3 linked regions of the Stegostoma tigrinum genome follow. The protein of the gene in region 3 binds, or shares a complex with, the protein of the main gene of each other region. Links are inferred from orthologs where the notes say so. Each region holds a gene or a part of one and is shown on either strand. Other genes may lie near its edges. The genes, in order: nrp1a, semaphorin-6A-like and plexin-A2-like.

Region 1 (10,855 bases), on a different chromosome or scaffold from region 3:
AGAAACTAGCAGAAAATAGCCCAGTACAGGGAAACCGTGAAGCGTCTGACATGTGGGAGCCGGTGTGTTAGTTGTGATGCGTGCATTTTTGATATAGAGAAGGACATTAGCCTGGTCTACACTGCGCAGATAAGCAAATAGGGTCGACGCTCGGTCTCAGCAAGTTCCAGTAAATATTTTGTAACCACTAGAGGTCACTATATCTAAATACGACCCAATCTGGTTTGACTCACTTGCAGTCCCGGTCCTCCAGATCAAAGTGAGGGTTGAAATTGATCATTATCCGTTGGGAAACTTCGGGTGCTCGGATCACCCAGGCACAGCTTTCCCGGGGGTAGTAGGAATTGGGATATCCAGGAGAGTTCAGGTAGTCAGGACTGGTGATCTGTATAGTTTCCCCACACCGATCTACATGAGATAACAGCACATTTATAGAAACCAAACCGACGGAATCTCCAGCCTCCCTTCATATCTCGGACTCGCTAATAAGGATTCACGTTTTCTTCCGCGCAGAATTAGCAGTTCTCTAAACTCACCGGATTCTGTAAAATACTTGGAAAGAATCTTGCCCAGTTGTATAAATTGCTTTGACAGAATCTTTATCTGTTTTCATAAAATACTTAGACTGACTCTTTGCCTTGTTTTACAAAATACTTGGTCAGAATCCTGCCCTGGTTTATAACACGCTTTGCCAGAATATTGATCCAAATGGGACCAGATCAGTTTAGGATAACTAGTCGGCGCGGAAGAGATGGACTGATGGGTCTGTTTCTGTGTTCCAACTCTCTGTTTTCATAAAATACTCGGACTATATCTTGCCTTGTTTCTTAAAAAGACTTGAGCAGAATGCTGCCCTGTTTTGTAAAATATCTGGCAGATTTTGAAACTCCGCACATTTCCCTGTAATTCAGGCGCGAGGTGTGTGTTTTCCACGGGCAATGACCCATCCCTGTGAGCAGGAGGCTATCAGTACCACGGAGAATCCTGATTTACTGAAGGCGGCAGCTCACAGTCAGAACGGATTCTGAGCATGGAAAGTTGTTTATTTTGTTTTAACATTTTATTTCATCCAGAACCAGGTGAAAGACCTGGACCTTCACAAAACGAGGTTTTCTTCCTCGACTTCAAGGTGCTTGGAGGGTTTAGATCTCTGAAGAATCCCGAGAAAGAAAATGTTTTAGATTGTAGCTAGCCCCGGCTTTCCCCAGTGCCGGCCCGAATTGACCACCAACTCTTCCATACACACGCACACACCCACACAGATAGACACACACCCACACAGACATACACAGACACATGCACATAAACACAGACCCCCACACACTGACAGACACACACATACCCATACACATCCACAGATAGATACACACATGCACACAGACACACACCCACACAGATAGACACACACCCACACAGATACACACACAGAAACACAGACACATGCACATAAACACAGACCCACACACAGATACACACATACCCATACACATCCACAGATAGATACACACACCCACACAGATAGACACACACCCACACTGACATACATACACAGAAACACAGACACATGCACATAAACACAGACCCACACACTGATAGACACACACATACCCATACACATCCACAGATAGATACACACATGCACACATACACACACCCACACAGATAGACACACACCCACACTGACATACACACACAGAAACACAGACACATGCACATAAACACAGACCCACTGATAGACATTGATAGACACACACATACCCATACACAGATAGATACACACATGCACACATACACACACCCACACTGACATACATACACATAAACACAGACCCACACAGACTGATAGACACACACATACCCATACACATCCACAGATATATACACATGCGCACACAGACACACACACACATATAGGCACACAGACGCGGACAGACACAAACCCAACCTACAGCCATACATACACACACCTACATAAACATATACACACCACGCTCACACATGGTGACACACTCACCCACACACAAACACAGCCCACACATACACATCGATTGGTGGGAGTCGGACAATGGGAGATTCCACCCTCTTCTCACTCGTCTTCAATCTCAAGGTGGGTGTAGAGGGGATTCACTAAAGGAACAGAGAGCTGGCCCGGGAGAAGTGGACATGAAATTCCTCCGGCATGGAGGAACAGTGCACAGATTGGTCAGCGTTCTGTTTGGAGAGTTCTCCCACTTGGAAAAGGGACCGAAAGACTGTGGTTTTAACATTCGCAACATCCCGTGCACGGCGCTAAACATTCCGCAGTCAAAGTTTGTTCTGAACAACACCGGGTTAGTCATGTCGTGGCATCACTTCAACTCCAGCCCGCTGTAGCTGGCTACCTGTCCTGCTCCCTCCCATCTCCACACTGACCCCCTCCCGTTTGACTGAGAAAGGACTGAGGCTTGTGGCCGGGCTACGCCGGGCTGCGGGAGAGAGCGGGAAGGAGGCGCAAAGCGGCTGGGGAAGCGCCGGGAGGGGGACGGGGAGATCCGCTTTGCTCGTTTATTGCTGCGGCCAGCAGGCTGTGTGTGTGTGTGTGTGTGTGTGAAAGAACCGCTTCGTGACCTGGTTCAGCGTGTCTGTGCAGATAAGAAGGAGCCGGGGTGTCTTCCTCATCTAGCTCACGGCTGTCAGTTCAGCCAAGATTCAAGCTGAAGAGGCGCCGGAGTGTAAGAGCTGGATATAAGATCTGACCCCTCACAGCTTTATTCAGCGACACACACATACACAAAGCAGCTCCAGAAATTCCCCCAAAAGCTCATTCTTATTTTCTGGACAAACATTAGTGCTCAAATCCTAACCTCTCCTGATCACTGCAGGGAGAGTTCGCGTTTATCTCGTCTTAAAAATAGCCTTAACATGCCGAGTCTCAGAACAGGAAGTGCTGGAGGAACGCAGGGAGCCAGAAATGAAATGTTCACCCCCTTTTGCAGCTCAGTGCAGCACACAGCAGTCAGTCGTCTCCAACACTTTTCTGGAGGTTTTGCTTTTGTTTTGTTACACGTTGTTCTGGTTTTCGTTTGGCCATCGCTCGCCTGGGCCCTGCCCGAAAAGAAACCGCTTTCCCGGCAACTGGTGGCAGCGTGAGGCGTGCTCCTGGGGAGGGAGTCACATGGACGGGAGCCCAGTGTGCCAGGCGCTGGGGAAAGCAGACCGAAAGATCTCAGTGAGCTCCCCTCTTAACTCGGGATGAGGGAGAGGACACTGACGGCGTGCTCACTGTCCGCGTCGCTCTCCCTGGGAAGGGGCAGTGTCTGAGAAAGTCACAACAGGTCTCAGAAAGTCATTCTTTGCCCCTAGTCCAGGCTCCTGCCTTCGACTGGGCAGCGTCGCCAGGCTGAGGGTACCTTCAGGTTCTGGCGTCTCCGGATAAACCTGCAAAATGCCACTTGCCTCCACACAGTCCCCCCGCCGCCCCCTCTCCCTGTGTGGGGAGACTTCAGCAGCCTGTTGTAAAACGAAACGAGGAGAAGCGAGCCCCTCCAGATCCTCGCAGTGTACGCTATACTGCGTGCGCCCTGCCGAGTGGACAGAGACCCTACCCATTTGCTGGTCTGTCCTCCCTTTAGTGGTTGTGGTATCGGGGCTCAGGGGGCCGAAACGACAGGGAAAAAGCGGCGCCGTTAATACTCACCGTTTCGGACCGCCCCGGACACACCGATGGCCACGGCCAGTAGGTAGAGGGAGAGTTGATGCTTCCCCATTTGGCAACTGGAGATTGCGAACGAAAACAGCGCGCACACACAGCGACAGGGAGAGAGAGAGAGAGAGGGAGGAAAGCCGAGAAGCGATAACAACAACGAAGGGCGCACTTGAGTTGAATTGGTTACTTTGGGAGAATCTGGGCGATCTGCAACCTCATCCTTTAGCTTCCTCTCGCCGCTTGCGGATACACGGTTCCTGTTGCAATGTCTGGCGTTGCCATTTCCTAAAAAAATCCCGAGCCAATAAAAGCTTTGCACAGACAACCCCCCCCCCCTTCCTTCCCTAACACACACACACACACACACACAGAGGGAGACTCCTCACTGCTGAGCAGATAGGAGAAGCAGCCAGCTGGGAGACAGAAATAAAAACTGTCTAGGAAATATTCTTAAAACAATTAAAAATGTCAAATCCACAAAGATCTGAAACTAGTTCGAGGCAGGAAAAAGAAGCGTTCACATGCTTATCTAATTATAAATGATGCAAGACTGGGTACTTAGCACCGCTAAAGGGAGAAATAAGACCAGCCAGACTTGTCCACACTCCTTCCCCACAGTCTCACAGTCCACCGCCTGAGACACCTCTATTAATGTATTCACAAAGGGAGAGGAAGATTGGCTGTCAGTATAATACAGCAGATCTACAAAGGGATACAGGGTGGGAGAGAGATACAGAAAGACACGGAGAGCTGGGAGATCAGCTCCAAGCCACGCCAAGTCACTGAAAACTCAAAGCGCCTCTCCTGGCCCAACTCAATTGCGAAATAGAAGTCAGACGCTACGGTTCCTTCAGCGGCATTTCTGTGACAGGCCAGCCAGCAAACAGAGAGAGAAAGGAACGCCCATGCTCCGGCAGGCGAACAAACTCTTTTTCAAAAATACTAATGATTTGGTCAATGAGTAAAGGGCGAAGCGCCTGCGGACTCCTCTCCACAGACACAAACAAACACACGCTTGCTCAGCGCCGCGCAACTGCTCCAGGTGATCAACACTTTCAGGGAGAAATACACTACACTGAAAAGGTCGGCAGACTCGGGCTGTTTTTCTTAAGGCAGTCTACGGAGGGAGGTCTGCCAAATGATTTGACTGCATGACTTGCAATTCCCTGTTATATGCAGCTGTAAAAAACAAAACGTTATTGTATTATGTGTCTCGTGAACACCATATACACACCATCAGCAAACACGCTTCACACGCACACAATAATAGTGTGCAAACTTCTCACACTAATACTCTGCACACTCAAGCACTGAATCACTGTGCAAACTTCTCACTGATACTCTGCACACTCAAACACTGAATTCCTGTGCAAACTTCTCACACTAATACTCTACACACTCAAGCACTGAATCACTGTGCAAACTTCACACTAATACTCTGCACACTCAAACACTGAATTCCTGTGCAAACTTCACACTAACACTGCACATTCACAGAATTCCTGTGCAAAATTTTCACACTAAGCTGTGCACACTCAAACACAGAATTCTTGTGCAAACTTTTTACACTAATTCTGTGCACATTCAAACACAAAATTCCTATGCAAATTTTTCACTAATTCTGTGCACATTCAAACACAGAATTCCAGTGCAAATGCTGTGTGCACGCTTCAGAAACGCCCTCATTTGATGCGCATAACAATTTTACCGTATACACTGAAACTGAATTTGTTTGGAGCAAAATCTCTGAAGCATTTGCTCTGGCTGGCAGCCTGTCATTGGTTCGGACGGAACTGTTTTACCTGCCCGGACTCAGGGAGACGAAACTCTTCCAGCTGAAGGGATGGGGCGAAAAGAACAGACATTTCTAAAAACAAAACTTCATTCACCCAGCTGGGAAGGCGAACCGGCTGCAGCAACAAGTGGCAGTCCCATCCCTCTTCGTGAAACTCCGGGCTTACATACCTACCTGAGGAGCAATTTTGTCGACAACAATAAAATGTGGCTGTAAAATAATTTCAAACGATTTCACATTCCCCAACATGCGAACCTGGCCAGATGCCGCGCCCACATATCCGAGCTTGTTGATGTGGGGATAAGGGAACCATCTCCCAAACGCGGCAGAACTTTCCGTACCGGCCAACAGGAGGCGCACGGCTTCAGCGCCAGATAATCTGAATCATGGGCGTCTCAGGCACGCATGTGGCTCACAGTCATTATGGTGGTCCCTCTCAGTCGTGCTCATTGTCAGACTGTCTTCCATGAACCATGTTTGGATGTATGTTGTCTGAAGGTGGGAAAAGTGCGCTACAAATGCCATTGACCATCCTTGATTGGCGAACTGTTCATTCTCAGCGCAGAAAGTTGTCATTGCCTCGGGCCATATTTAGTGGACATTTGTTAATTTCACACCTTGTCAATCATTTCTTGTCATCAAATGTCCAAAACGCATATTTTTTCACATCTTTTTATTTAAAACCACACAAATGCCTCCGGCATTTTCTCCCAGATCTTCCCTAGCACTCTTGCCGATCATACTGCTATGGAAACGGGCAAATTATTATGTCAGACATTTGGACATGGCGGAATCTTGTTGGAATACAGTTCCTCGAGCTGCTCCCAGGGTTTGGGATGGGTGACTGTTTGCCGAAGTGGTTCGGACCGTGTCACACCGAGAAAACAAAGATTCCTGCATAGTCGAAAGCTGAGCTTACTGTTCCCAGTTAAGGTAGCAGCAGAAGGAAGTGGGTACATTCGGCCTCGATATCTCTATCGTTGGCAGGACAAGATCAGTCAGAGCCTCCCGCTTTGGTCACTCTCTACCTATGCTTGCTGGAAAGCGTATACTTGCTGAGGTCCTACCTCGGCTATACATCCATCTTGTGGATGATACAGCTACACACCACAGGGCAGCTGAGGACAGGAGATGGGAGCACAGCGGTAACATCACATGACGAGCAACCTAATACCTAATCAAGCACTGTAGCGTCCACATCCCAGCATAGGAATTGGTGAAAATGTAAGATGATAACAGAGCAGGGAGGTTATGTAGGAGCCGTATAGGACTTTAAGATAATAAAATGTGAGGCTGGATGAACACAGCAGGCCCAGCAGCATCTCAGGAGCACAAAAGCTGACGTTTCAGGCCTCGACCCTTCATCAGAGAGGGGGATGGGGTGAGGGTTCTGGAATAAATAGGGAGAGAGGGGGAGGCGGACCGAAGATGGAGAGAAAAGAAGATAGGTGGAGAGGAGAGTATAGATGGGTAGGTAGTGAGGGGATAGGTCAGTCCAGGGAAGACGGACAGGTGAAGGAGGTGGGATGAGGTTAGTAGGTAGGAGATGGAGGTGCGACTTGGGGTGGGAGGAAGGGATGGGTGAGAGGAAGAACAGGTGAGGGAGGCAGAGACAGGCTGGACTGGTTTTGGGATGCAGTGGGTGGAGGGGAAGAGCTGGGCTGGTTGTGTGGTGCAGTGGGGGGAGGGGACGAGCGGGCTGGTTTTGGAATGCGGTGGGGGAAGGGGAGATTTTGAAGCTGGTGAAGTCCACATTGATACCATTGGGCTGCAGGGTTCCCAAGCAGAATATGAGTTGCTGTTCGGTGCAACCTTTGGGTAGCATCATTGTGGCACTGCAGGAGGCCCATGATGGACATGTCATCTAGAGAATGGGAGGGCGTGTGGAAATGGTTCGCGACTGGGAGGTGCAGTTGTATATTTCCGGAGAGACCACTCTCTCCGTGACTCCCTTGTTCGCTCCACACTGTCCTCCAACCCCACCACACCCGGCACCTTCCCCTGCAACCGCAGGAAATGCTACACTTGCCCCCACACCTCCTCCCTCACCCCTATCCCAGGCCCCAAGATGACTTTACACATTAAGCAGAGGTTCACCTGCACATCTGCCCATGTGGTATACTGTATCCATTGTACCCGGTGTGGCTTCCTCTACATTGGGGAAACCAAGCGGAGGCTTGGGGACCGCTTTGCAGAACACCTCCGCTCAGTTCGCAATAAACAACTGCACCTCCCAGTCACGAACCATTTCCACTCCCCCTCCCATTCTTTAGATGACGTGTCCATCATGGGCCTCTTGCAGTGCCACAATGATGCCACCCGAAGGTTGCAGGAACAGCAACTCATATTCCGCTAGGGAACCCTGCAGCCCAATGGTATCAATGTGGACTTCACCAGCTTCAAAATCTCCCCTTCCCCCACCGCATCCCAAAACCAGCCCAATTCGTCCCATCCCCCCACTGCACCACACAACCAGCCCAGCTCGTCCCCTCCACCCACTGCACCCCAAAATCAGTCTAGCCTGTCTCTGCCTCCCTAACTTGTTCTTCCTCTCACCCATCCCTTCCTCCCACCCCAAGCCGCACCTCCATTTCCTACCTACTAACCTCATCCCACCTCCTTGACCTGTCCGTCTTCCCTGGACTGACCTATCCCCTCCCTACCTCCCCACCTATACTGTCCTCTCTACCTGTCTTCTTTTCTCTCCATCTTCGGTCCGCCTCCCCCTCTTTCCCTATTTATTCCAGAACCCTCTCCCCATCCCCCTCTCTGATGAAGGGTCTAGGCCCGAAACGTCAGCTTTTGTGCTCCTGAGATGCTGCTTGGCCTGCTGTGTTCATCCAGCCTCACATTTTATTATCTTGGATTCTCCAGCATCTGCAGTTCCCATTATCACTGTATAGGACTTTAGCCAGGCCGTAGCTGGAGTAGTGAAGTAGATACACTAGGATGGAACAATTCAGCTTTGGAGAAAGGCTGGATTGCTTTTTTTGGAACAAAAGATATTGATGGGGAACCTGTTAGAGAACTATAGGGTTATGGGGGCATGGTCAGGGGACTAGACAGCAGATGTTCTCCTTAGTCGAAGGATCAATGACAAGAGCTTCATTTTAATGTGCAAGGCAGGAGGTTTCAAGAGCGGATTTGAGGAAAATCTATCTCACCCAGAGGGTGGTGAGAATCTGGAATACACTGCCGGCAGGCTCTTTGAGGTGGAAAACCTCACAATCTTTAAAAAGTATTTGAATGAACACTTGATCTGGCATAACATTCAAGGGTATGGGTTTTACATTTGTAAGCGAGACTAGTGTAGGTAGTAGTGTCTTTTTGGTGGTGCAGACCCAACGGGCCAAAGAGCCTGTTCTGTGCTGCATAATTCCATGACTCTACGAATGAGTTCTTGACTGAGCTTTGAGGATGTAAACAAGGCAAATAAAACCTGTCTTCACATGTCAGGATCTTCAAGAGGGAAGTCTTTGTTATTTGCTGTGGTCTTTGCTGGCAAAGCTGCCATTTAATGCCCACGCCTTGAGAAGACAGTGATGAACCTTCTTCTTGAAACACTGCAGGATTCCCAGGATTTTATCCCAGTGATAATTAAAGGATGCCAACATATCACCAGGGTGTATGATGTGTAGGTGATGTTGTTCCTAGCACCTACTGCGCTTGATCTTCCAGATGGCAGAAAACGAAGGAGTAAGAGTAATAATGCAGCCACTGTAAAGGCAGTAGATTTTTAAGCCTGTGGGTGGGATGTTAATTAAGCAGACTGAATGACCTATGCAGGCGATTGGAGTCTATTCCTTCGCGTTTTCAGCTTTCACCTTATAGACAGTACAGAGGCTTTGAGGAGTCAGGAGCTACATCATATGCTGCAGCATATCCAACCTCTAACAGATAAATAAATTTCTAAGTGTACTTCCACTTTCCATTACCTGTTAACACATGAGTACTAAAAGCAAACCACCAATTTTTAACCATGCAGTGATTGTTAACATTAAAAAACTCAAAATTTTTCAAAATAGATGAAATATCTCAAAATATGACATCTACACACCATGTGGGAATGTTGCTTTACTGAAAAACTAGCTAATGTACTAACACTTCTTCTATGTGAAAATTATATTTTTTTATGTGCCGGTTGCATGGTGAGAGCAAGTAGATCTGAATGCAACTTGCTTGTTAATACTTGATGTTCAGGATTTGGAACAAGCTCCTAAGGTTGATAAGTAACATAGCTGTCAACGAAACAAAATGGAATTTCTGTCCTTGCCTAAAGGAAGTGGTAACTGGTGAAGGTTGCCATGTCGCCAGAGATAGTGACAAATTTAATTTGCCTTTCTTGTCAATTTCAAAGGAAATGCCACATGAAAATTCTGCTAATTATTTAGCATTCAATAGGAAGCCAATGAGCTGTCAATATATTTTTGACCCTTCTATAACATCTCCATTCATGACTCTCCCTGTCTTCACATTTAGAAGGCAGCATCAGCTATTATCATTTAAATTGAAATAATAATGTCAAATTACACTTTAAGTCTATAAAATTAATTTTGATTGTCCTTACATTTACTCTAGTTAGTTTAGTTAATCGGTGATTTGAAATGACCATTGAACATTACTGTCTAAAGCTTTTCTCCCGAGATGTACAAGTTAGTATATCACAGCATTGTTCCTTCTTTACCCACAATATAGCAATAAACAGGCACTGATTTTATTGAGCATTTACTGTAATGAGGATTACCATTATATGAATTATAAATTATACCAGCAGTACACTGGTACCTTAAGAACTTGCAAGAAAATTGACCATGTTCATGGAAACTGTTTAAAAAATTATGTTCGGGTCTCATAGGCAAATCATAGGCGTGCCATAGTCTAATGGTGTAGGTGTGTCATAGTACATTTCGACAACTTATTCAAGAAATTAATGATTTACTCCACATTTATTTTTCTGTGGATGGAGATCAAAGGCGAGATAAGAGCATGTAAGTTTATTACTAACAATATTGTGGAATGTTGGATTGAAGTACAATCTGGAATTGTAAGTGTTCTTTGCAATGAAATATAGGCCTATTTTAAGCTACAGCAACTCTTGCCAAGATGTTAAAGAAATATTCTCATGGAGGATGACAATGATTCTTCTTTGATGTTATAGGAGCAGGAAGTGAAAAACCTCAAACCTTTCTTATCTGTGTGGGTTTAAGCTGTACAGAATTTAGGAATATTTAACTCTGCACTCTGCCAACCAATGTTCAGTGCTCATTCCATCAGAAATGATTACTGATGGCAGCCAAAATAATAAAATTATTTGATAGGTGGTAGAAGATAGAGCTGCCAAAAATATTTGGAGTTTTGCCCCTCGCTAGAGTGAT
Region 2 (11,244 bases), on a different chromosome or scaffold from region 3:
ACAACATGGGTAGGGGAATAGAATGCTGATCGCACCTCCCACGATCACACAACCCTTTTCTGAAAGGGCAGTCATGATTCCTGCACCAGCATTGAGACAAGAACATAAGGGTGTGGAACTTATACATAAACACACCCTCATGTATACAAACACCAACATCCTCAGACATGGACGAGGCTCTGCTTAACAAAATGAGCCAGTCTGTCACTCAGTCGTGGCCTATGGGAAAGCCACTGAGCAGTTTGCTCAAAAAGCTGGGTTAACACTTCTAAGTGCCAGACACATCCATATGGAATATCTGTTTCCGGCATAAGGTTGTAATGAGAAAACACAGCATCTGCTGATGAATAATCATGAAATCATGACTGGCTTCTTCAAATACTCAATGCTGATTGGAGAGCCCATCATTTTACTCTACATGTGTCATTTGATAAATAAAATGTTTCTGCTGCCTAAACGAACCAGCAGCAGTTTAGCAAACGAGAGTCAAGTCTCCTCACCCAAAGTTCAACACAGAGGCAAAGATAAAAGGAAAAAGGCCCCTGAAACACTGAAGCTTCTTTAATTTAAAAACAATGAAAAAGGTCCAGATTGCTGCCAGAAAGGCTGTGAACATGTGGCCCAACTGTATTTCGAGCCATTCCCAAGACACCAAAACACTATCTGAGGCTTTGAAACTATGGAAACTGAATAAATAAAGTAGCTTCCATGATTAATAGATGAAGATCCCTAGCTGAGCCAGAACTCAAGACTGTAGAATCCACACGTACACAGACCCAATTTTGACAGGGCACATTCTTCCACTCTGATTTTGTTTTGTGGTTGGTCATTGTTGACTACCAGATTCACTTAACCTTCCCCTGCACATAATGATACTCAAATATCAGAATATGCACCAACTCAGGTCAGCTTAATTCTGACGCTGGCTGTGCGAAGGCTGTCTCTGGAGATAACTTCCACTGCAGTCAAGGTATCCTACCCGCCGCACGCTTCAGATTATTTTATCAACATGCGGATCAAGTATTTCTTGAAACAGGTTTGTTTACCTCCTCCCCACCCCGCCGCCCCCGCCAACACTTCACAACAGACAGTGGAAGCCAAAAGGAACGTCCCCTCCGCAGCCCCTCCCCATTAAAATTTGCTCGGTACCTGTGATGTTATTCCACACAGTATTTTGGATGCAAAAGCAGCTGTTGGGCACTAACCCCTGGCCTGACCCCATGCTCCGCGCTTCAGATCCACCCCCAGCTCAGAGAAAGACTGCCCGACACTTGACGTGCACAGCTAGTCGCACACATTGCAATAGCAACTGAACGACCAAACTTTCACTCGCTCTCTTTCCCCGTCCGCTCACACAAGGGACCCTCCTGTTTCCGGGCATTTAATATCTCCAACTAAGCTACTGTCAGACCAGACCAAAAAAAATACAACACGTGGAGAATTTGCAAACTTACGCTCTCGTTTGTTTTTAAATACTCAAAGAAGTTCCTCTCCCCTTCATACATATAATGTAGCAATGCTACATCCCCGCGTCCACTCCCAGAGAACGGAGCGAAGCCAGCGGTCCACACACTGTACAAATCTGGACGCTTGCTTCGAAATCCTGGATCCTCACCTACTCCGCCTGTCCAAGCCCTTTTGTAAACACAATCGGGCTCCTAACTAGTATTATCAAGTCTTGGCAAATAGGAAAATATATTCGTACGCTCCGGCGTTCAAAAATACTGTCTTTTAATAATCACTGTTCAAAAGAAACAAAACGAGGTCGCGAGAATTTTGAAGGCAAGTTTAGCAATTGACAAGTAGCCAACCATTAGATTTTGCTTTTTTAAAAAAAAAGCATAGTGCTTTGTGCACGATCGTTAAGTACCAGATAGAAAATTGATTTATTCTAGGAGGAAATAATATTAAGACTGGACTCAGCATTTAACAAGAACAAACATAAATCCAAAGGCGATATTTAACACCAGTAGACAGTTAGCACCAATTCTCTGGAGCCTACTGTCAGGGGCTGAGGATCAGAATCTCAACAGAGCTATCAGCCCCAGCGACAATATACACGCGGCTCCCCGTGGGTATGATCACTGGTGAGAGGGGAACAATTAGTTGAACAAATCTCATGGTAAGGCACACACAAAATAACAAAGAACCGGTGCTCGCAACATACAGAAACAAAAAGAGGCTAGTATCTCTGGAAGGAACAGTACAGCACTCTACCTTCTAGGTTTGGGGAGTCGAACCAGCGGCACTGCTGCCTCATTAGTAATCCATTTAAGGCTGGCTCTGGCCAATGTGATCCACACACACAGTGCCTGTCAGGCGCTCTGAGGATGCAGATGCCTTGTCTTGACAAGGGGGGAACAGTATCACGGTTGTTCGCCCCAACCAGACCGACAGCATGGGGAACTTCTGCTGCTCCAAAACAAAAATAACAGATCCCCCTCCAAACCCCCCCCGGAAATCCACTCGGGAAAGCTTCGTCAATTTCGACCCGATTACCAAAGCGGGCGGACTTAGGTCAAGTCGCAGCCGCTCTCTTCTCCGGGCTGTTGGGGAAGGTTATAAGTCTCCAGTTCCTCGTCCGGTATCCTGTCACAGCAGGCGAACACGGGCTTGGACACACACGCTCCGAATCATCTTAATTGGAGCTGTGGAGGGCAGGCAGGCTGTGTGCTGAGCGGCTGCCCCACTCCTTCCCCCTCATCCTTGCCTTCCAACTCCAGCTGTCACTGGCTATCCGATTTGGAAGGAGACGGCACTCAAATCCAGGACTGGATTCCTTCCTATGGACCGGATCGGGACGTTCGCACACGGCAACCAGTCCGCCAGTCGCAGCCCAGACCGGGTTCTAGATCCTCTGAAACATTTATGGAGGCGTTTGGAGAATGAAATGCTCACTTCCCGGGAAGTGATTAAACAGATCCCTTGAAAGTCCATTGACACTTTGGAAAATGACTCCCTGCCTAGGCTTACTTTGAGGCAACCCATTTTGAAACAGTTAGGTTGGCGGAGATGTCACCTATTAATGTTTGTAAACAATACAAGGTACATGTCTCTTCTTAAATAGCAGAACAAAACGTTACATTTTGGTCGACTCAAAAACAAACTCTCGCTCACAGCGACAGAAGAAACCTTTCTATTCTAAGTTCCACTCTTGCCCCTCTTTCCATTTGATTTGCATATTTTGCGCTACCTGAGCTTTTTTTTTGAATTTTCCGAATTAAAACATTTTACTTGCATCCAGCTACTCCTCTAAATAAAAATCTGCAAAAAAGAACTTTTTAAAAATCCCGTTCAAATGCTGGAAATTCGACATAAAAACAAAACGCTGCAGGGAGAAAAACAACAAACTGTAAATAGAAATCATGTCACTAACTTGTTTCTGCCTGTTTTTTTTGTTTTAATTGGCAGTTTGGATGTAGACGCTTTATCAGGCATCAACAAGCATTTCAAAAAGGGTTGAAATAGGAGAGGGGGTTGGGGATAATTAGCAGAGGCAATAAGTGATTGAAAGACCACCGATATGAAATGACCTGCGAACTGCTTCATAAAAAAACGTACAAATAGAGAAAGATGGAAAGACGACGAAGTCTGAAGAAGTAGAGAAGCGCGCAAAAAAAACTCGAATTCCAGATCCGAAGTTACATTATTTTGTTCAATAAAGCACATTTATAGAGAGGAAAGGATTGTTTCATTTTAACTACACCACAGTTTTCGCCTTCTTCCGGTCGCTGCAAACCAATTATTCTGGCGAACTACCTTTGAAATTGCTGCAGGTCCCTCACCCGGTTTTCCGGGGTAACTGGGCCAAATTAATGGCTGCAGAACTACTGCGAATAAAGTACAATAAGATAGCGCAGTGGTAAGTGTCCCTACTTTAAAATCAGGAGGTCTAGGTTCAAGTCTTACCTATTCCAAGTATGTAATAAGAAATTGACCTGGGGAAAATAACAGACACGTCCGGCAGTATCCGTGGTGGTCTAATTGGAGCTGGATCCTTGTTGTCAGGCGATATTTAATTTGGGGCCAGTTTAAAAATTCAAATAAACCTGCACATACCAAACAACGCAATAGCGGCTTTCTTCCACCACAAAAATCCATACTTTCAATGTCTCAACCACGACCCTTTTGTGCTTTGAGCATGAATGAAACATTCATTCCACGTGTACAATAAATAATACGTATTTACATGTAAGATATCATTCAATTATGCACGTGGGTCGTTACTTAACCCAGAATGCATACGATGTATATCAGTATTTGCTGCCAAAACAAAACCCCTCCACAAATCAGAACCTCAATAACCCCGACTGTTGCTGTTAATGATTTTTTTCCATTGTAAGGGTGGCAATAATGACTCAGTGGTTAACATTGCTGCTTCACAGTGTTTGCACTTTCTCCCCGTGTTTGCCAGGGTTTCCGCCGGGTCCTCCCACTGTCCAAAGATGTGCAGATTAAGCGGGTTTGGCAGGGTAAAAATGTCCCGTAGTATCCAGGGATGTGCAGTTTGGGTGGATTAGTCATGGTAAATGTGGAGCTACAGGGATGTGCGCTATCGGTTCCGGATGGGATGCTCTTTTCTAGGTTCAGTGCATGTCGAACGTCCTCCTTCTGCACTGTATGATTCTAAACTGTAGGCAAATTCCCAAGGAGGAAATCGGTTAGTTCCACGCTTAGTGCAAGGTTGACACTGAAGGGAAAATAAAACTGAATGGCGCAGTCAGAAGGAAGGGGGAATGGATGTCTGAGAGTCAGGGAATATAACGATGGTAAAAAAAATCAGAGAAGAGGTAGAACTTTTGGTACTGCAGACAGATGCTAGCCTAGATATTTAAGCAAGTTAAAATGGAGTGTGGCTTAAACATTAACCTTGGATCCAGAAAAAGGAATGTTATAAGAGGAGACAGAACAGGTTGGTTAACTGGACAAGATGGTTGGATACCTTGAGTTTTGCCCAAGGGTCACTGGACTGGAAACAATAACTTTGTTTTCTCTTTCCAAGTTGCAGCCTGAGTTTCTGAGACCTGCTGAGTTTCTCCAGCAACTTCTGGCTTTGATTCAAATCTCCAGCACCTGCAATTCTCTGTTTGATTTTGGACATTTGCAGTCACTCTTGAATTAGAGGACGATATCACGGTTCCTACTGAGCATCTACACCTAACTGAACAGGCTCATTTTTGAGCTAAAAATCTTTGGACACACAGGGCAGAATTGGGCTTAGTGGATTTGTTTTGCTTCATGAATGAAAGGCTGGGACTGAAAGCATGACACAGCTTTATGAAACACTTGCTGCTACCCAGAAACACGTTTGTCCCAATACGCACAATAACCTTTATGCAGAATGACTGTGTGCAGATTATTAATGAGGGATTCCTTGGTTTACAGCCATTGCCAATCCTCCAACACCATAGGACTTGGGAAATGGGCCCTTTAGTAGCCTGTGCATTGCTTTTTTTTAACAGGGAGACCTTGTCAACTGCTGATCAGATTCCAGAGACGTATTAAACTACAACAGGTCCCAATTGGCCCCTACAGTCTTTGCACTTGATGTAACACTGTCTTCCTTGCCTGTTTTGCCATTGAAGACTTTTTGGGGATTGCAATATGTCTGCCTTCCCAAACCACCACCACCACACCCCATCCCTGAACCTGCTGCAGTGAGTGCTCCTACCATAACCAAGGAGGTCAGATGAAATCATTTGAGAGACGCTCACAGTGTACAAGTCTCTTCATTACGTTAAGATAGAATACCCAGAAAAGCTTGTATGTCATGAGTGACTATTGCATTCATTATATATTTTCTTAAGTTGATTGAAAATCTGAATGACGCACTTTGATTTTACTTTTCACAACTTAATAATTTCACCCATGTTGTAAAACAGGACTGCATAAGACTGAGCTAGAAAGTTAAAATCTATAACTTTCTATTCAAGCATGCCAATGTACTCATTAAAAAAAGTTGCTGGTTTTATATCTTCAGCATTTGTCTTTCTGTTTCAAATTTTCATGTCCTTCCATTTATTTACCTTCAGCATATGAAATACTGTTGAATAAACCTATACTTTAAGTTTTAAAGCCAATATAAAGTATTTACTTCTGTATTGTCAACTCTAGTTTCATTGGTAACACGCTTTTTAATGAATCATACGATTCCGGGTTCATGTTCCATACCAAGGTTTAAGTCAAAAATCAAGGCTGACAGTTCAGTGTACAACTTTTCAAGGTGATGCCTCTTGGATAAGAACACAGCCCCTGTGTGCTCTCTGGGATGGGCGTAAGATATCATGTGATACTACCTTAGAAAGAGTTGGAGGCTTGTCTCTAATTTCCCATTTAGTCCTTCACTCAACGTCACAAAAACATACTATCCATCCATTGACACATTGCAGCTTGTGGGGAGGCTGCTTTGTGCAAATTGGCTGCTATGTTGGCCTCTGTACTGCAACAGTGCTTCATTGGCTATAAAGAAGTTTAAGACATCAGATGGTTGTGAAAAAGGCTATAATTGCAAATATTTCTTTCATGATTCATTATCAGACTTGTTAAATTGTTAGCTTTTAGTGGAAGGTGAGCTAGTACTTTGAAGCTATTGAGCAGTTTTCTAGATTGACATATCTGCGAATTATGTGGAACAAATACTGGCTTAAAACTGGTGATGGACTAAGATTTTGTGGACTCAGCCTTTATTTAATTTTGATCACTTCAGCTGATCTGATTTCACTGTACTAAATCTGTGATTTTATCACACGGTGCTGTTATTATAGCTACATTCCCTCCAATATTCTCTCTTTCATTTCTGAGGTCTGTGATGGTATAGTCAACAAGAACAGAAGTTGCTGGAGAAACTCAGCAGGTCTGGCAGCAATTATGCAGAGAAAGCAGAGTTAATGTCCAGTCGTCACTGGACACAAGGCGTTAACTCTGTTTTTGCCCCACAGATGCTGCCAGAATGATGAGTTTCTCCAGCAATTTCTGGTTTTGATTCAGATTTCCAGCATCTGCACGTGCTCTGTTTTAGTTTAGTGGTATAGTCAATCTTGGGTGGATCTCTACAGTTTCCACAACTAAGTGTTCAAACATAGCTGAGTTTTCACTAAAATCTGAGTAACTGCAAATTAGTGCCCATCATTCTTACTCTGTTAAATCAGGTTCTTTGAGTTCAAATGCTGTGTCAGTTCATTAGGAGCTGCACTCAAGAGTATGCCTAATTAGTTGTTAATAAACAGAATTTAATAATATAATAATGAGAATGGTTCTAACACAATGGCCCCCAAGAAGGTGAACTGTAAAAATGACTGTGGAAAAGTAGCATTAATGTGTGACCATGGAGGATGAGAAACATCTTGGATAACAAAGTGTGGAGCTGGATGAACACAGCAGGCCGAGCAGCACCTTAGGAGCACAAAAGGAGCTTTTGTGCTCCTAAGATGCCGCTTGGCCTGCTGTGTTCATTCAGCTCCACACTTTGTTATCTTGGATTCTCCAGCATCTGCAGTTCCCATTATCTCTGAGAAATATCTTGCTTGGCCAATCAGATATGGAAAACCCAGCTAATTAGTCTCCCACCCTAAATATGTTGCTGTAATTGCAGTGTTCCTAGTGCTAGTTAGGCTAACGCAATAAACATCAGGAATTAATTTGGACAAAATGATATGAATTGAACCCAATTAATGTCTTCAGAATAATGAGAAATTTGGAATGTCCTAGTTATGGTAAAAGAATCAATCCACTCACTAGTGATTGACTATTTTGCCAAGATAAAATTGAAGCAGGGAAACTCCCAATCCAGATGGAAAGCTTACCGTCAGATGAGGTAATAAGGGAGAAAAAAGGGGGATTTGATTAGCACTGTCATCCCTGCTTCCCCAGTATGATTGCATTTGTTCAAAATAGATCTGGCATTAACTCACTGGTGAGGTAGGTATTGCTTGCACTGCCATCCATTTGAGTGCATAAATGAGCTTGAACATATTGCATTATGAAGGTCAGATTATAAGTGATGTCAGATCAGGTTAGTCAAGAAATCAAAGTATAATCATAACACTTTATGCAGTGTTAACATTAATATCATTTAACAATGGCAATGGTTGGAGATTTTGAAAATATGTCATTCTTAGAAAATTGTACAGTCTTTAGTAAGGATTGTATTGTTATTGTGTCACTGATGGTTCAGCAAATAGAATTCAAATGATGAAGTCTGACTAAATAATTTATAGTTTAATGTGAAATCCATAAAATTCTGCCAATGATTATTTTTGTTTAAAATAATAAGCAGTGTATAGATTTTACAATGTACAAAATAAAGGAATCTTAGAGAACTTTTCATGGGGAAAGTGTTATGGTAGTGCTAAAAATACACAATGAATTTTCAACTTCTGTCATCTGATTTTTAATACTTTCATGGACTAAAATGGCTTTAAAAAAGATACATGTGACTGAAGATGACTGCAGTGATCACCTGATAACAGTTGGCGACAGTTCATGATAACAGCAATAAAGTATAGCCGTCTGAACTGAAATGAATATGTTATCAAAAAGACTGAAACCAGTGCCCCAGATCTGTATCTACAGTTTGATCTACACCTTGCTAGAAATATCGTATTGGAATGAAAGATTTACCTGCAGATTACCAGCTTTAAAAAATCAATGAATGCACCATGGAAAATTTTATTCCCCTTATGCCGCAGTTACTTCTTTTGCCAATCACCCGAAATTGTTGCCCTCTGGCTCTCAATCCCTCAATAAGCAGATGTGGATCAGCTATTTCCTTTGGTCAAGAATCCAGAACAAGGATCCACAATTAAAATAGCATTGGGCCAGTAAAATGCAGTATCAACAAACACATTTTCACACAAAGTGCAATAATAATGTGGAGTGCTCTGTCCACCAAGCCTGTGGCCACAGAGTCAATTTAAATATCCAAGATTTATAACTTGATTATTTCTGGGCAATGGTACTATGGAGCAATGGAGTTGAGGCATATATCTAGTTCATATTTATATGTATATTTAACTGATTGAGTTCAGCTGTTGAGCATATTCAAGGGGCTGAATAAACTGATCTTGTTCCTATGTTTCTATCAGTAACCAGCGCTATTTATGTTTGCCATTGGGACTGCCCTGATTTTGGCAGCTTGAGGAAAACTTGAACTGGTCTTTTGTTGCCAGAAGCTGGTTCTACTTCTTTTATATTGCACCATGAAATGGTAAATCCACAAATTGTGTTATAAATGCACAAATCAGACTTTCAAGCATGGTACTAAATGTGAGTGCGCAGCAGATTCCTTGAAAAAATGTTTTGAAACATTAAATCTAATGTGTCTCTTTTATCCTAAATGCATATTACTCTTACATTTGATTGATGTTTCTCCCCTGACAAATACAAATCACAACATTTTACAATAGCTGCTTTCAACGCTGCTTAAATTTAGGAAAAAAACCATTTAATTTGAAAAACTCTGCAATATATATAAAAGAATGCTTTGTATTTCCCTAGCGCTTCAGCCCTTTGAGGAATGCAGCCAAAATCCAGCCTTTAACAATGGGACATTTTTTTTGGGATCCTGCACTGATGGCTCAATTGGTTAGTTATTGGGCTCTAACATTCCAATTTTCATGATCTGCTGCCAGAAGTATCGTAGAGAAAGGAGGACTTAATGCGTGGTAAATGTTTCTGCCACTGACCCTGGAAATGGCCCACCACAAGGTCAGCTTATTAGTGACTGGATCAAAATCCAGTGCCCAAGCAATGAACACTGTGCCTAAGATGTTCAGAAAATATGTGAATAAGGAAGCCTTTATGGGGGTGGAGCTTCAGCATATGAAGCAGTTTTGTAAACTCAAATTAGTGCATTGTAAAATAAAGGCTTTGTTCCAACATGAACAAGTCAAGAATATCCTCTTAACTGAAAATTAATACAGGGTGGAAGTTGGAGATGCAATGTTGGGTCTGAGTGCTCAGAGTTTCTAGTTCCATATGAAAGAAGTGGCAAAATGAGTAGCAACCTCTTGATGACTAGAATGAAGTTTAATGACCCTGCAAGGTCAGTAAAGATAAGTGTAATGGCTACAAGCTGTGATTAATGTATGGATGTTTCAGACAGTACATTTGTATTTATCCTGAAAGCACGGTCACTAATCTGGGGGTATGCCCCTTAGCATTAAGCACTTTGTGTGTACCATATCTTACAATGCATACATGTTTTTTGAGACCTGTGGGAAATTTTTTTGGGGATATGTCATCAGAATTCTCAGATTGTTGTCAAATTCAGTTGGATGTAAATGACAGAAACAAGATGCTTCGATGCAGTGACAACGCACACAATTTTCAAGACTGAAAGGTCATTGGAAGAAGCTGGAGATGTGCAGTAGTTTCTGCTGATTAACTGATAATAATTAAAGATCAGAAAGTTTCTGTTTTTTGCAAGTCATACTTTGAGAGCCCCCTTGCATCTATCAGGAACAAACAAGAGGAAGATAAATGTTGGTAATACAGCAGAACCGAATCTAGATGCTGCAATTGCTCTCTAAGGATGTGTGGCAAGTTTCAGGAAGGATGGTAGAGTCCAATGTCAGTATGGCGCAGTATCTGAGAGAGATAAACTTCAGTAGAAAAGAAAATTAAGGCCAGCTGTTTAACGATTTCCAAGGAATATCAAAATTGCATCCTTATGTTAAGGCTAGTACAGGAATAATGACTTGATACCAGAGGGTATCACCATTCACAAAATTAGACACCAGTAAAGCAATCAGCATTCCTAAATGCAGTTAAATGGGGTCAGTGTAGCTTGGTGTTTGTTGGTTGGTATAAACAATGTAGGACGAAGGGCCATCGAATCCAGGAGACTATTGATGGGATGGCAAGTATTTATTTTTGAAAGTTTCAGTTTTACTGCTGCAACTGTTATGTCACACTGGTGGTGTTGTGGGGTTGAGATGGAGGGAGCAGTAGAAATGGTACTGAAATGGTTATGTGGCTCTTCAGCGTCTCCAGGTCTGAGGGTGTGAGCTCAAATCCCATCATGTCAGCTGGTGGAGTTTAAATTCAAACAATAAAAGCTGGAATTAAGACCTAAACTCAGTAACAATGACTTTGAAACCATCATCAATGGTCATAAAAAGCAAATTTGCTTTGTGAATGTCTTTAAGGAAGGAAATCTGGTGTTCTAACCTGGCTTGGTCTACAGCAATATGGTTGACTTTTAACTAACCGTTGAAATAGTTTAACCACTCAGTTCCAGGGCAA
Region 3 (10,146 bases):
ATTTTCCTCTATTGTTACTGTCCTTCCATTTGTTAGTATACAATGGGACTAAATGGAGAAAGCTTCGGAGGGGACTGCAAGTGTAGTAACTGTCATTGCAAAGCTGGCAGTCAAAGAATCTCAACGTCCTCCCATAAATGTCACCAAATTCAATCCAAGTGAAACCTGCATCATATTTTCTTTCCTGTCTTCCAGTCAGTGCATTACCCAGTGATCTGCACATGGCTGCAAAATCATCATGGAAGCTCGGGCATAAATGTCAAAAAATCATAATCTTGCCAGCCAGGCCCTCATTCAAGGCCAAATCCAAACTCAGACCTTATAGCTCATGACATGCATGAACCTTCCTTTTCAAAATGACTGGATGGTATGAATTATAGTGCTGAAAACTGAATGTTCTTTTTTGCTTGTAAAACATGCACTTCTTTTTTAAACATAAATATCAGAAACATAACCAGATTCTTAAGCAGAGTTTGCTTAACAGGATCAGAGAAAGCTTTCTCACTCCCAACATTACTTGAAGAATAATGGTCGCTATGAGTTTCTGCATCTTATATTTGATCTGGAGTGGGAAAAGGTTTGGTCCAAGAGCTCCCCCAATTGCTCAACAGGTTTAAGTTCTCTGCCTTATGCACTAAAGAATCTCACAATCCTAGGGTTGGATCCTATTTTTTTGATCTCTTTTGGAGCAACAGTTCCTTCCACTTTCTGTTCCTCTCTTTCTGTATACAAGTTCACTTCTCAAAACCTACCTGACCTAATGTCTTCATACTTGGCTCATCGCCACACTTTGTTCTATAATACTCCTGCGAAGTGCGTCGAGATGTTTTATTTCACTAAAGGTGCTGTGTTAATGGAGGTTGCCGGTATTATTGCAGCAGGTCACTACAATTGGCCCTGACACTTTACATTTGCAATGGAGAATGTAAATCAGCCAAGGCTTTTCCTAATGGTCACTGTGCTGCAATCCTTGCCAAAAAAAAAGTACATTAGGAATTTTGAACACAAACACATTCAAGAACTGGCTAAGCGTGCCCTACAATCAACAATTCCGGCACTTTCTACCAATACTCAAATAAAGCATGACCTTGCATGTAAAATGCAAAAGGATAAGGTAGCACCTATGGTGATAATATAGAAGTGTGAAGTTCCTTCTGAAGGCAAGGGGAAATAATTGGATGGGAGTTGGTGGTGATGGTGGAAAATAATTTGTACCTACTAGTCTTTTAGCTGGATTTATAGGCTTGCTGTCTTTACAGCTTTGCAAATTAACATCTTCACAAATTGAAATGGTATAGCAAGTGACTGCAAATATTTACTTTGCCAATATTAGACTGATTTGAAAAAAATGAGCTAATACAATCACTTGAGAAGACAATTGTTAATCTTAGACTTCACAGCGGCATTCATTGTACAAATGTTTAAAGGCACATCACAATGCTAAATAACTGACTGTAATCATGGAAGGCTGTTCATACATCTCCAAGAGCAATTCTCATCCATTTAGCCATTCAAGTTTACTGACTGTTCTGAACAGTTCAACCATGGAACGCTGAATCTAACTCTGTACTGCAGCACAGATCACTGCAAAACAGTTTGGAGAGCTACAGGCAAGGGGAAATTGCAAATTCAGTAATGCTTCTGGAAGCAAGTCTCCTATCACCCAATACGAAGGCAGGTATTGGAAGAACACAGAACTTGGACCACCGATCGTTCATCTTTGTTATATATAAAATCCAGACGTGTGGAACATGTTAATACAATTACAGGTAAGGATAATAAATTTTCTGCTCACTTTTCTGTTACATGAAACTAGACTAAACTAAAAAACAAGACTTCAGTATAGCAGCGAAGTATTCTTTAAGGTAATCCTTCACGAATGGTGGTTTGGTCGTGAGATTTTGGTGGTGGTAGTGGTGGGATGGGGAACGTCTTCCGCTCCCCCCACCCTCCACCACTTTTCCCTTTCACTTTTTTCAGACTGCCTCTGCTTTTCAAACTTAGTTTTCTGGGTCCTTCATGCAGAAGATTCCAGGATGCCAGAAGTGTGCCAAAAAACAGATGACTATACTTCTAGATATGTTCAAATATGTGCCCATGTATAAACTATAAGCTCCACTGCCTGAAAACAATACCAACAGTATCTGATAATCGTGTTAAAAACTTGCCAGTTGTCCTGTTAAGACAAGACTTTATTCACAACCTTTGTTTTGCTCTTTGTTTGAAAGAAAGAGCATTATTTCTCTAGCTTCCCTTCTGTCATTATTCCTTTCACCTTCCAGCTCCTGTTTATAAGCACATCTGTAGACATGGTCAGTGATGATTCCTGAGCCACCAGGAGGCACATTTGAGCAGTACAATTGTCCTCCACTTCCCCCTGCTGCGAACAATTTCTTTCTCGGCAAAGCGACCTGACCCCTAAAGAGACGCCCAAGAATGAATGCCAGTTAAACAAAAAAAAGTATAAGCTAAAATAAAAAGTCTGTAAAATATCGCCTGAAATAAGTTTTAAAACTGCTTTTGGAGGTAGATTGTAATTCAGGTCATTTGCAAGAAGAAATACTGCTTTGGGGCATTTTCCTATCACAGTGTATTCTGTTCTCTTTCTGAATCTGCTCCATAGCTGTAGCATATTACAATGTAATTAAACAGATCCCTTTTGGCTATATCCATCAGTAGAGGAAAGTAACAGAAAAAAGGCATCTGTTACTGCTATGCATTGATCCAACATCCCCGATGTCCAGGGAACTGTACCACACTGTTTGCTACACACCATTAAAGAATAAGTAAATGCACTGCACAAGAACTTCAACATGTATAGACTCCGCATTATGTTTTATTCATATAGATTTCCCCTATATATTTAAAAAAAACATCTTTCTTGCTCTCTCCTTACTCAAACCTTGTTACTGACAGAACGTTTCCTCACACATGACTATTTCGCCTTGTTACTCTCTGAACCGAATCTGACTCGAAACACCTTTACCTTCCCCACAGATCCATGTAAAACCACAGTCCAATTACATTCACCCAGGGTGCATTCAGAATCTCCCCGAGGATTATACTTCACCGAAACAATTTCTTTCGAAAGCCACAAATGCATGGTTCCCAACTGTAGTCAAAAATGTCAAGCAGAGATAATACAGGAGTAATAAATAAAGGAGTTATTAGAAAGTGATTTGGTCCGCACAAGCTACTGACACATTTCAAAACGCCTAATTCGCCCTGGTTGAAAAACTATTAGGAATGAATTGACAGATTTATTGCAATTTCATCCTAGTTGGAGCCTCCCATCTGCTTTTCTGTAATCTCCCCATCCATCAGTCACTTGCCTTTCTCGGTCCCATCCTCTGTTTACAGTGCAGTATATGGAGCAAACCGATCAGGAACTCAATCGCTGACCAGCCGACAGACACTCACTCACTCGCTTCTTTACAGCGCTCCTGATGCCAGGCTCTCCAGGGCGAGCGAGCGAACAGTTTGGGATTTTGTTGAGGCTCTGGGTTCTCTGTGCCCGTGTTTCTGGATCCCGGGACCATCTGCCTCCTTCTCTGTATCTCAGCTCTCCCTGCAAACAGGACTCCTTCATCCCTCCCTTTCTGCCAGTTAACTGTGGGCTGCAACTTCTTCCCCCAGAACCTGCCGCCTCCCTTTCCCACCAGTCACCCCATACCCCTGTTTGCCTGTCGCTGCACTCCGACCAGAAATGTCCCACTCATACTTGGTTTCAAAAGAAAAATGCTCAGTGCATTTTTTTTCTGTCTACTCCGTTCTGCCCTCTCGCTCTCTCTACATTAATCATTGAAAACATTCCACTCACTGCCTGTGGTTTCTTTTACCAATTCTTCTTTTCTGGCTGGCAGTTCCAATGCTCCGCTTCTGGCTGGCTGCACTTTCCTCTGAGCGCGTTCCCGGCTTTCAGACCTGAACAGACTACGTTCAGCTTCCTCTTTTAAATGTAGTTCTTCAGAGCAGCTCCGTCCTTTTCTCTCTCTCTCTCTCTCCTGGTCCCAGCGCAGGCACAGCTCTGCCGCTAGTTCATTAGCATAGCGCATATTAGCATACGCACAATTAGCATACCACGCACTCATTAGCCTATTACGTTTATTAGCATTTTACGTACTCATTAGCATACCCCGCCATCACTTTCACGACTATCCCACTGTTACCACAGCAGGACAGTCAGTCAATCGCCATGAAGTCTTTGAATGCATGAATTTGCAGAAAGGTTTTTTTACTATTAGATAAACTACTCATAGTTATTCCTCAAAATTCACAAGGTTACCAAGAGGAACTCCACTGGTGGCATAATGCATTTGTTCTGAGCAAGGTTAACTGGACCGGAAATTTTAACTCCAGTTTCTCTCCACAGATGCTGCCAGATCTGCTGAGGTTTTCAAGCAGTTTCTGTTTTCCAGCATTCACAGCTCTTTCGGTTTTTAAAATGTCAGTGCTTATCGGCGAGGTCAACCTTGTTTTAAAGGATAATAAAGTGTGAAGCTGGATGAACACAGCAGGCCAAGCAGCATCTCAGGAGCACAAAAGCTGACGTTTCGGGCCTAGACCTGTCATCAGAGAGGGGATGGGGTGAGGGTTCTGGAATAAATAGGGAGAGAGGGGAAGGCGGACCAAAGATGGAGAAAAAAGAAGATAGGTGGAGAGGAGAATATAGGTGGGGAGGTAGGGAGGGGATAGGTCAGTCCAGGGTAGACAGACAGGTCAAGGAGGTGGGATGAGGTTAGTAGGTAGGAGATGGAGGTGCGGCTTGGGGTGGGAGGAAGGGATGGGTGAGAGGAAGAACAGGTTAGGGAGGCAGAGACAGGCTGGACTGGTTTTGGGATACAGTGGATGGAGAGGAAAAGCTGGGCTGGTTGTGTGGTGCAGTGGAGGGAGGGGACGAACTGGGCTGGTTTTGGGATGCAGTGGGGGAAGGGGAAATTTTGACGCTGGTGAAGTGCACATTGATACCATTCGGCTGCAGGGTTCCCAACATGAGTTGCTGTTCCTGCAACCTTCAGGTGGCATCATTGTGGCACTGCAGGAAGCCCATGATGGGCATGTCGTCTGAGGAATGGAAGGGGGAGTTGAAATGGTTCGCGACTGGGAGGTGCAGTTGTTTACTGCGAACCGAGCGGAGGTGTTCTGCAAAGCGGTCCCCAAGCCTCCGCTTGGTTTCCCCAATGTAGAGGAAGCCACACCGGGGACAATGGATACAGTATACCACATTGGCAGATGTGCAGGTGAACCTCTGCTTAATATGGAAAGTCGTCTTGGGGGCTCGGTTCACAATAAACAACTGCACCTCCCAGTCGCAAACCATTTCAACTCCCCCTCCCATTCTTTAGATGACATGTCCGTCATGGGCCTCCTGCAGTGCCACAACGATGCCACCCGAAGTTTGCAGGAACAGCAACTCATATTCCGTTTGGGAACCCCGGTATCAATGTGGACTTCACCAGCTTCAAAATCTCCCCTTCCCCCACCGCACCCCTAAACCAGCCCAGTTCGTCCCATCCCCCCACTGCACCACACAACCAGCCCAGCTCTTCCCCTCCACCCACTGCTTCCCAAAACCAGTCCAACCTGTCTCTGCCTCCCTAACCTGTTCTTCCTCTCAGCCATCCCTTCCTCCCACCCCAAGCTGCACCTCCATTTCCTACCTACTAACCTCATCCCACCTCCTTGACCTGTCCGTCTTCCCTGGACTGACCTATCCCCTCCCCACCTATACACTCCTCTCAACCTATCTTCTTTTCTCTCCATCTTCGGTCCGCCTCCCCCTCTCTCCCTATTTATTCCAGAACCCACACCCCATCCCCTCTCTGATGAAGGGTCTAGGCCCGAAACGTCAGCTTTTGTGCTCCTGAGATTCTGCTTGGCCTGCTGTGTTCATCCAGCTTCACACTTTATTATCTTGGATTCTCCAGCATCTGCAGTTCCCATTATCCCTGTTTTAAAGGAGTTGGTTACCTCAGTTGGCTGGTCATTTGGTCTGTGATGTGGAGAGTTGCCAACAGTGAAGTTTCAATTCTCACACCATTCCCACATGTTATGATGGAGGACTGCCTTCCTCAGCTTCTCCCCTTCCCCGAGGTACGGTGACCACAGGTTAAACAGCCACCAGTTGTCACTCTGTAATGAGACAGCAGCCCTGTGGTCTGGTAGGACTTTGACAACCTTATTTCCTTTGGCTTCAGATGTGCCAAAATGTGGAACGTTAACTCTGTTGCACTCTCCATGCATGCTGACACCTATTGAGCACTTCCAACATTTTCTGATTGTCTTAATAAACCGTGAACCCCTCTTTCTGGGCAGGTTGATGTGAAAGATTCCAGTACAGCAATTTGAAAAAGAGGGCATACATTTTCAAGAGTGCCCAATAAACACAACCTTGCCAGCATCATCCACATTCCAAGAATCAATTGAGAGAAACTCAGAGATCTGCTAAGCATCATAAAAAATTCACACCCTTCTCTGTTCCTTAACGAAAATCACAAAAAAAGATTATTCAGCTCATTTTCTGCTGATGAGACCAAGCTACACACATTTGGTGAAACATATGCCTGAAATGATGAATGCACTTCATGGAAAGTTAATCAGTGAGTATTATGCATGAGACAGAACAGGAGCAACATGAATACTAGTTTAACAAAGTGTGAAGCTGGATGAACACAGCAAGCCAAGCAGCATCTCAGGAGCACAAAAGCTGACGTTTCAGGCCTAGACCCTTTCTGATGAGGGGTCTAGGCCCAAAACGTCAGCTTTTGTGCTCCTGAGATGCTGTTTGGCCTGCTGTGTTCATCCAGCTTCGCACTTTGTTATCTTAGATTCTCCAGCATCTGCAGTTCCCATTATTTCTGATAGTTATGAATACTCGTTTGTTGTTTATTGCAATTTGTACCATCAATGCATACTATTGAAGTTGCTGATACTCATTTTACTGCAACTGTGCAAGATGTTAAAAAGACCACATTGGAGGCACTGTGAGCAGCTTCGGTCACCTTATTTAAGGAAATGTATCATTTCATTGGAGGAATTTAGAGAAATTTCATTTGGATGATCCCTAGTATGGGGGAATTACCTTCTGAGAAAAAAACGAAGATACAGTTTAGGACTCTATTCACTGGAGTTTGGAAGAACAAGAGGAGGTCTCGTTGAAAGATATAGGATTCTTAAGGAGTTTGACAGGGTAAATACTAAGAGAATGTTTCCCCTCATGGAAGAGACGAGGACCAGAGGGCATAGTCTCAGAATAAAGGGGTGCCAATTTCAGACTGAGTTGAGGACAAATTTCTTCTCTCAGTAGGTTGTGAGTCTTTGGAATTCCTTGCCACAGAGAGCTGTGGGGGCAGATCCTTATGAATATTTGAGGTATTTTTATTAATTCATTGGTTTGGGGCATCGCTGGCTAGGCCAGCATTTATTGTCCATCCTTAATTGGCCAGAGGGCTGTTAACCATTGCTGTAGGTCTGGAGTCACAATCTAGGCTGAGATACATTCTTAATAAAAACTGAAAGAAAAACCAAAAGAGATACATTCTTGATGAGTAGAGGAATCAAGGTTTACAAGGAAAGGGCAGGAAAGTTGATGTGAGGAATATTGGATCAGTCATGATCCTACTGAATCATGGAGGAGGCTCAAAGGGCCAAATGGCCTTCTCTTGTTACTATACCTTTTGATATTATAGATTTGGGGAGGCATGGTGGCTCAGTTGTTAGCACTGCTGCCTCACAGCACTAGGGACCCAATTCCACCCTCAGGTGACTGTCTGTGTGGAGTTTGCATATTGTCCCCATGCCTGTGTGGGTTTCCCCTGGGTGCTACAGTTTCCTCCTACAGTCCAAAAGTGTGCAGGCTAGGTGGTTTCACCATGGAAAATTGCCCCTAGTGTTCAGGGATGTGTAGATTAGGTGGGTTATAGGGAGATGGGTCTGGGTGGGATGCTTTGAGGGTCATTGTGGGGTTGTTGGGCCAAAGGGCCTGTTTCCACATTTTAGGGATTCTATGATCTCCAATTTAAAAATGAAAAACCAGAATATATGTTATAAGATATGTAGATACATGGGAGAGGAGGTGTATTTTGCCACAGTGGCTTGTGTCTCTGCCTCTGAAATAGAAGCTGCAGGTTCAAATCCCATTCCAAGTATTTGATGGCCAAGGAAGATGTGTTCTGATGTAGTCAAACAGGTTGAGTTTCACCTTGTAAATCTTTCCAACATATGCCAGTTGCAAGTTGTAAGAATGAGAGACACCCCTGGCCAGACATCTGTAAAAGACAAAAGCAAAACTCTGCAGTACGAAGAGTAAACTACAGACTAACACAGATATTTATGATCTCTAAAGCATCTCAGGTTATGGAAACTGAAAAGATACATAGAGGTTAATATAGAGCCTATTGCCAATGATAAATTATGTTGCATGACACTGTATCTAACTTTGTACAATACAAAACTAGCATATGCAATAACTTTGGATGGATATAGTTAAACTATCATGCAATGCATCTGGCTATGCATGGATACACATCAACTAAAAATTATACAAAATTAGGCTGAGTAACAGAAATATGCTGAAATCAGTATTTAATTTCCTTTGAAGCACATATTTTCTCCACTTAATGCAAATTTGTTCAGATTAATTTTGGAGTATAATACCAAACTTCCTGGTAACTGATTGATATCTCACCTGATTAACCGTTCTTGATGTGTGACCTCAGTTACTTTTTGTAGCATGTAACACTGTTTAATATACTTGAACTGAGGCCAATCCTGTCTCACCCGATGTCCTAACACAGTCATCAAGTGGAGTACGACTTGTTATCTTTTCAATATCTTGCATAAAATTAGTTACAGAGCCTCTAGTTCCACTTAACAAGGAACAGGTATCTCATGACACAGAAACGATTGAACTTTTAATCTTCCTGTGAACAATGTATGGGCATCATGTTATACCTAACATTCATCCATTGAATGGTGCAGTATCAAATTTTGATTGATACTCCATGGATGCACTATGGGATATTTTAATATTATTAAGCAGGATCTTATATAAATCTGATTTTTTTTAGTTGAATAATGCAGCATATTTAACATTATCAAACACTTAGAGCATTTGTCAATCACTGAAGCATTCTAGTCAGCATCCAATAATGATGAGCAAAAATGGAGAGGGCAATTATCTTCACAAACAAGGCTCAGACCTAAACATGGAATGAAAGTAGTATCATTGCTTTAATTACTAACCCTTTGAAAATACATCAATTCTTCACCTATCGACATGCACTTCCAGTCTTTCCATTCCAATTCAGTCCCGAAGGCTTTATAATGACTGGATATTCAAGCGATAATTTAGCCTTGATTACAAACATTGGTGTACCAAGAATTGTACACCACCACCTGACAAGTAAGGCTGTAAAAAGTGAAGGGTCATCAAATGCTAACTCTATTTCTATCCATAGATGCTGCCTGGCTGGTTAAGTGTTTACAACATTTTATGTTTTTACTTAAAATATTGAGGATCTTTTGCAAGTACTTTTATAGGATGAAGTTCTTTTTCAACTCCTATGCAAAGCTCTAACCGACTTCTTATAAATCTGCATGTGGTAAAGTGCAGAATATGCTATTTTATAAGAAGAACAGTATTATACCATAGGATGTAGTATGTATTATTTTGCGGCTAAAGTGTGGCTTTGTGTAATTAGTCTGTCACATTGAGGGCATAACATGTAATTGTTCTGCCTTTCTGAAATATATTAGAAAATATTAGCTTGCAGCAGATCTTCAGGTTAATCAGAGGTCAGGGTGGTTTACTCCTTGTTTTGTGATTATTTATGTATAGTGTGAGTCTTCTGAAATCAAGTAATGGCTATCTTTTGTAGTCTGTGGTCTTTCTCTGGGGATTGAAAACATCTGAATTCTTGAGTACTACAAATCTAATGCACGTCAATTGGTTACATGTTCACTTTTTATTAGGGTGAACAGCAGTTACACAAGAGTGCCGGAATGGTTTCTAGGTCTCCAACAATCCCTGGTGGGAAAACAAATCTCGCGCTTGGGTTTTTGTGGACGCATCCAATTCTCAATCCTCTCCTGTAATTGGCGTGGAATTGGGTTGCCTAGCCAAACAAGGGTGGCAAGCAGGTACTA

Evidence for each region.
Region 1: the proteins of plexin-A2-like (region 3) and nrp1a are in contact, whole or in part, in a crystal structure (PDB 4GZA), measured with the Mus musculus proteins. The link is inferred for Stegostoma tigrinum from reciprocal best matches to the Homo sapiens genes PLXNA2 and NRP1. Residues at the interface, in NP_032908.2 of Mus musculus: Asp273, Leu274, Phe275, Glu306, Lys341, Gly342, Gln343, Lys344, Gln345, His348, Pro350; in NP_032763.2 of Mus musculus: Glu78, Arg80, Asp81, Lys83, Tyr84, Asp126, Tyr127, Glu128, Thr129.
Region 2: the proteins of plexin-A2-like (region 3) and semaphorin-6A-like are in contact, whole or in part, in a crystal structure (PDB 3AL8), measured with the Mus musculus proteins. The link is inferred for Stegostoma tigrinum from reciprocal best matches to the Homo sapiens genes PLXNA2 and SEMA6A. Residues at the interface, in NP_032908.2 of Mus musculus: Ala93, Cys94, Tyr95, Pro96, Lys155, Gln192, Asp193, Tyr194, Asp220, Phe221, Val222, Pro229, Ser230, Asp231, Leu386, Lys389, Val391, Thr394, Lys395, Ala396, Pro397, Val398, Leu407, Asp408, Ile409, Asn410, Gln411; in NP_061214.2 of Mus musculus: Arg108, Met109, Lys110, Gly111, Met162, Ala163, Thr188, Phe190, Leu191, Ile193, Tyr198, Thr206, Arg208, His212, Asp213, Ser214, Glu219, Gln266, Arg267, Glu270, Lys271, Lys393.

Annotation. Positions count from the first base shown.
Region 1 is NC_081355.1:129,161,393-129,172,247, forward strand, and holds the start of nrp1a (neuropilin-1a), read right to left. Parts: upstream 4,809-10,855; 5' UTR 3,747-4,808; coding exon 3,677-3,746; intron 409-3,676; coding exon 234-408; intron 1-233. UniProt on the Homo sapiens protein: Cell-surface receptor involved in the development of the cardiovascular system, in angiogenesis, in the formation of certain neuronal circuits and in organogenesis outside the nervous system. Mediates the chemorepulsant activity of semaphorins.
Region 2 is NC_081356.1:76,489,729-76,500,972, reverse strand, and holds the start of semaphorin-6A-like, read right to left. Parts: upstream 4,078-11,244; 5' UTR 4,060-4,077; intron 4,005-4,059; exon of another isoform or gene 3,910-4,004; intron 2,750-3,909; exon of another isoform or gene 2,218-2,749; intron 1,540-2,217; exon of another isoform or gene 1,455-1,539; intron 1,235-1,454; exon of another isoform or gene 1,150-1,234; intron 1-1,149. UniProt on the Homo sapiens protein: Cell surface receptor for PLXNA2 that plays an important role in cell-cell signaling. Required for normal granule cell migration in the developing cerebellum.
Region 3 is NC_081374.1:20,435,912-20,446,057, forward strand, and holds the start of plexin-A2-like, read right to left. Parts: upstream 4,031-10,146; 5' UTR 3,821-4,030; intron 1-3,820. UniProt on the Homo sapiens protein: Coreceptor for SEMA3A and SEMA6A. Necessary for signaling by SEMA6A and class 3 semaphorins and subsequent remodeling of the cytoskeleton. Plays a role in axon guidance, invasive growth and cell migration.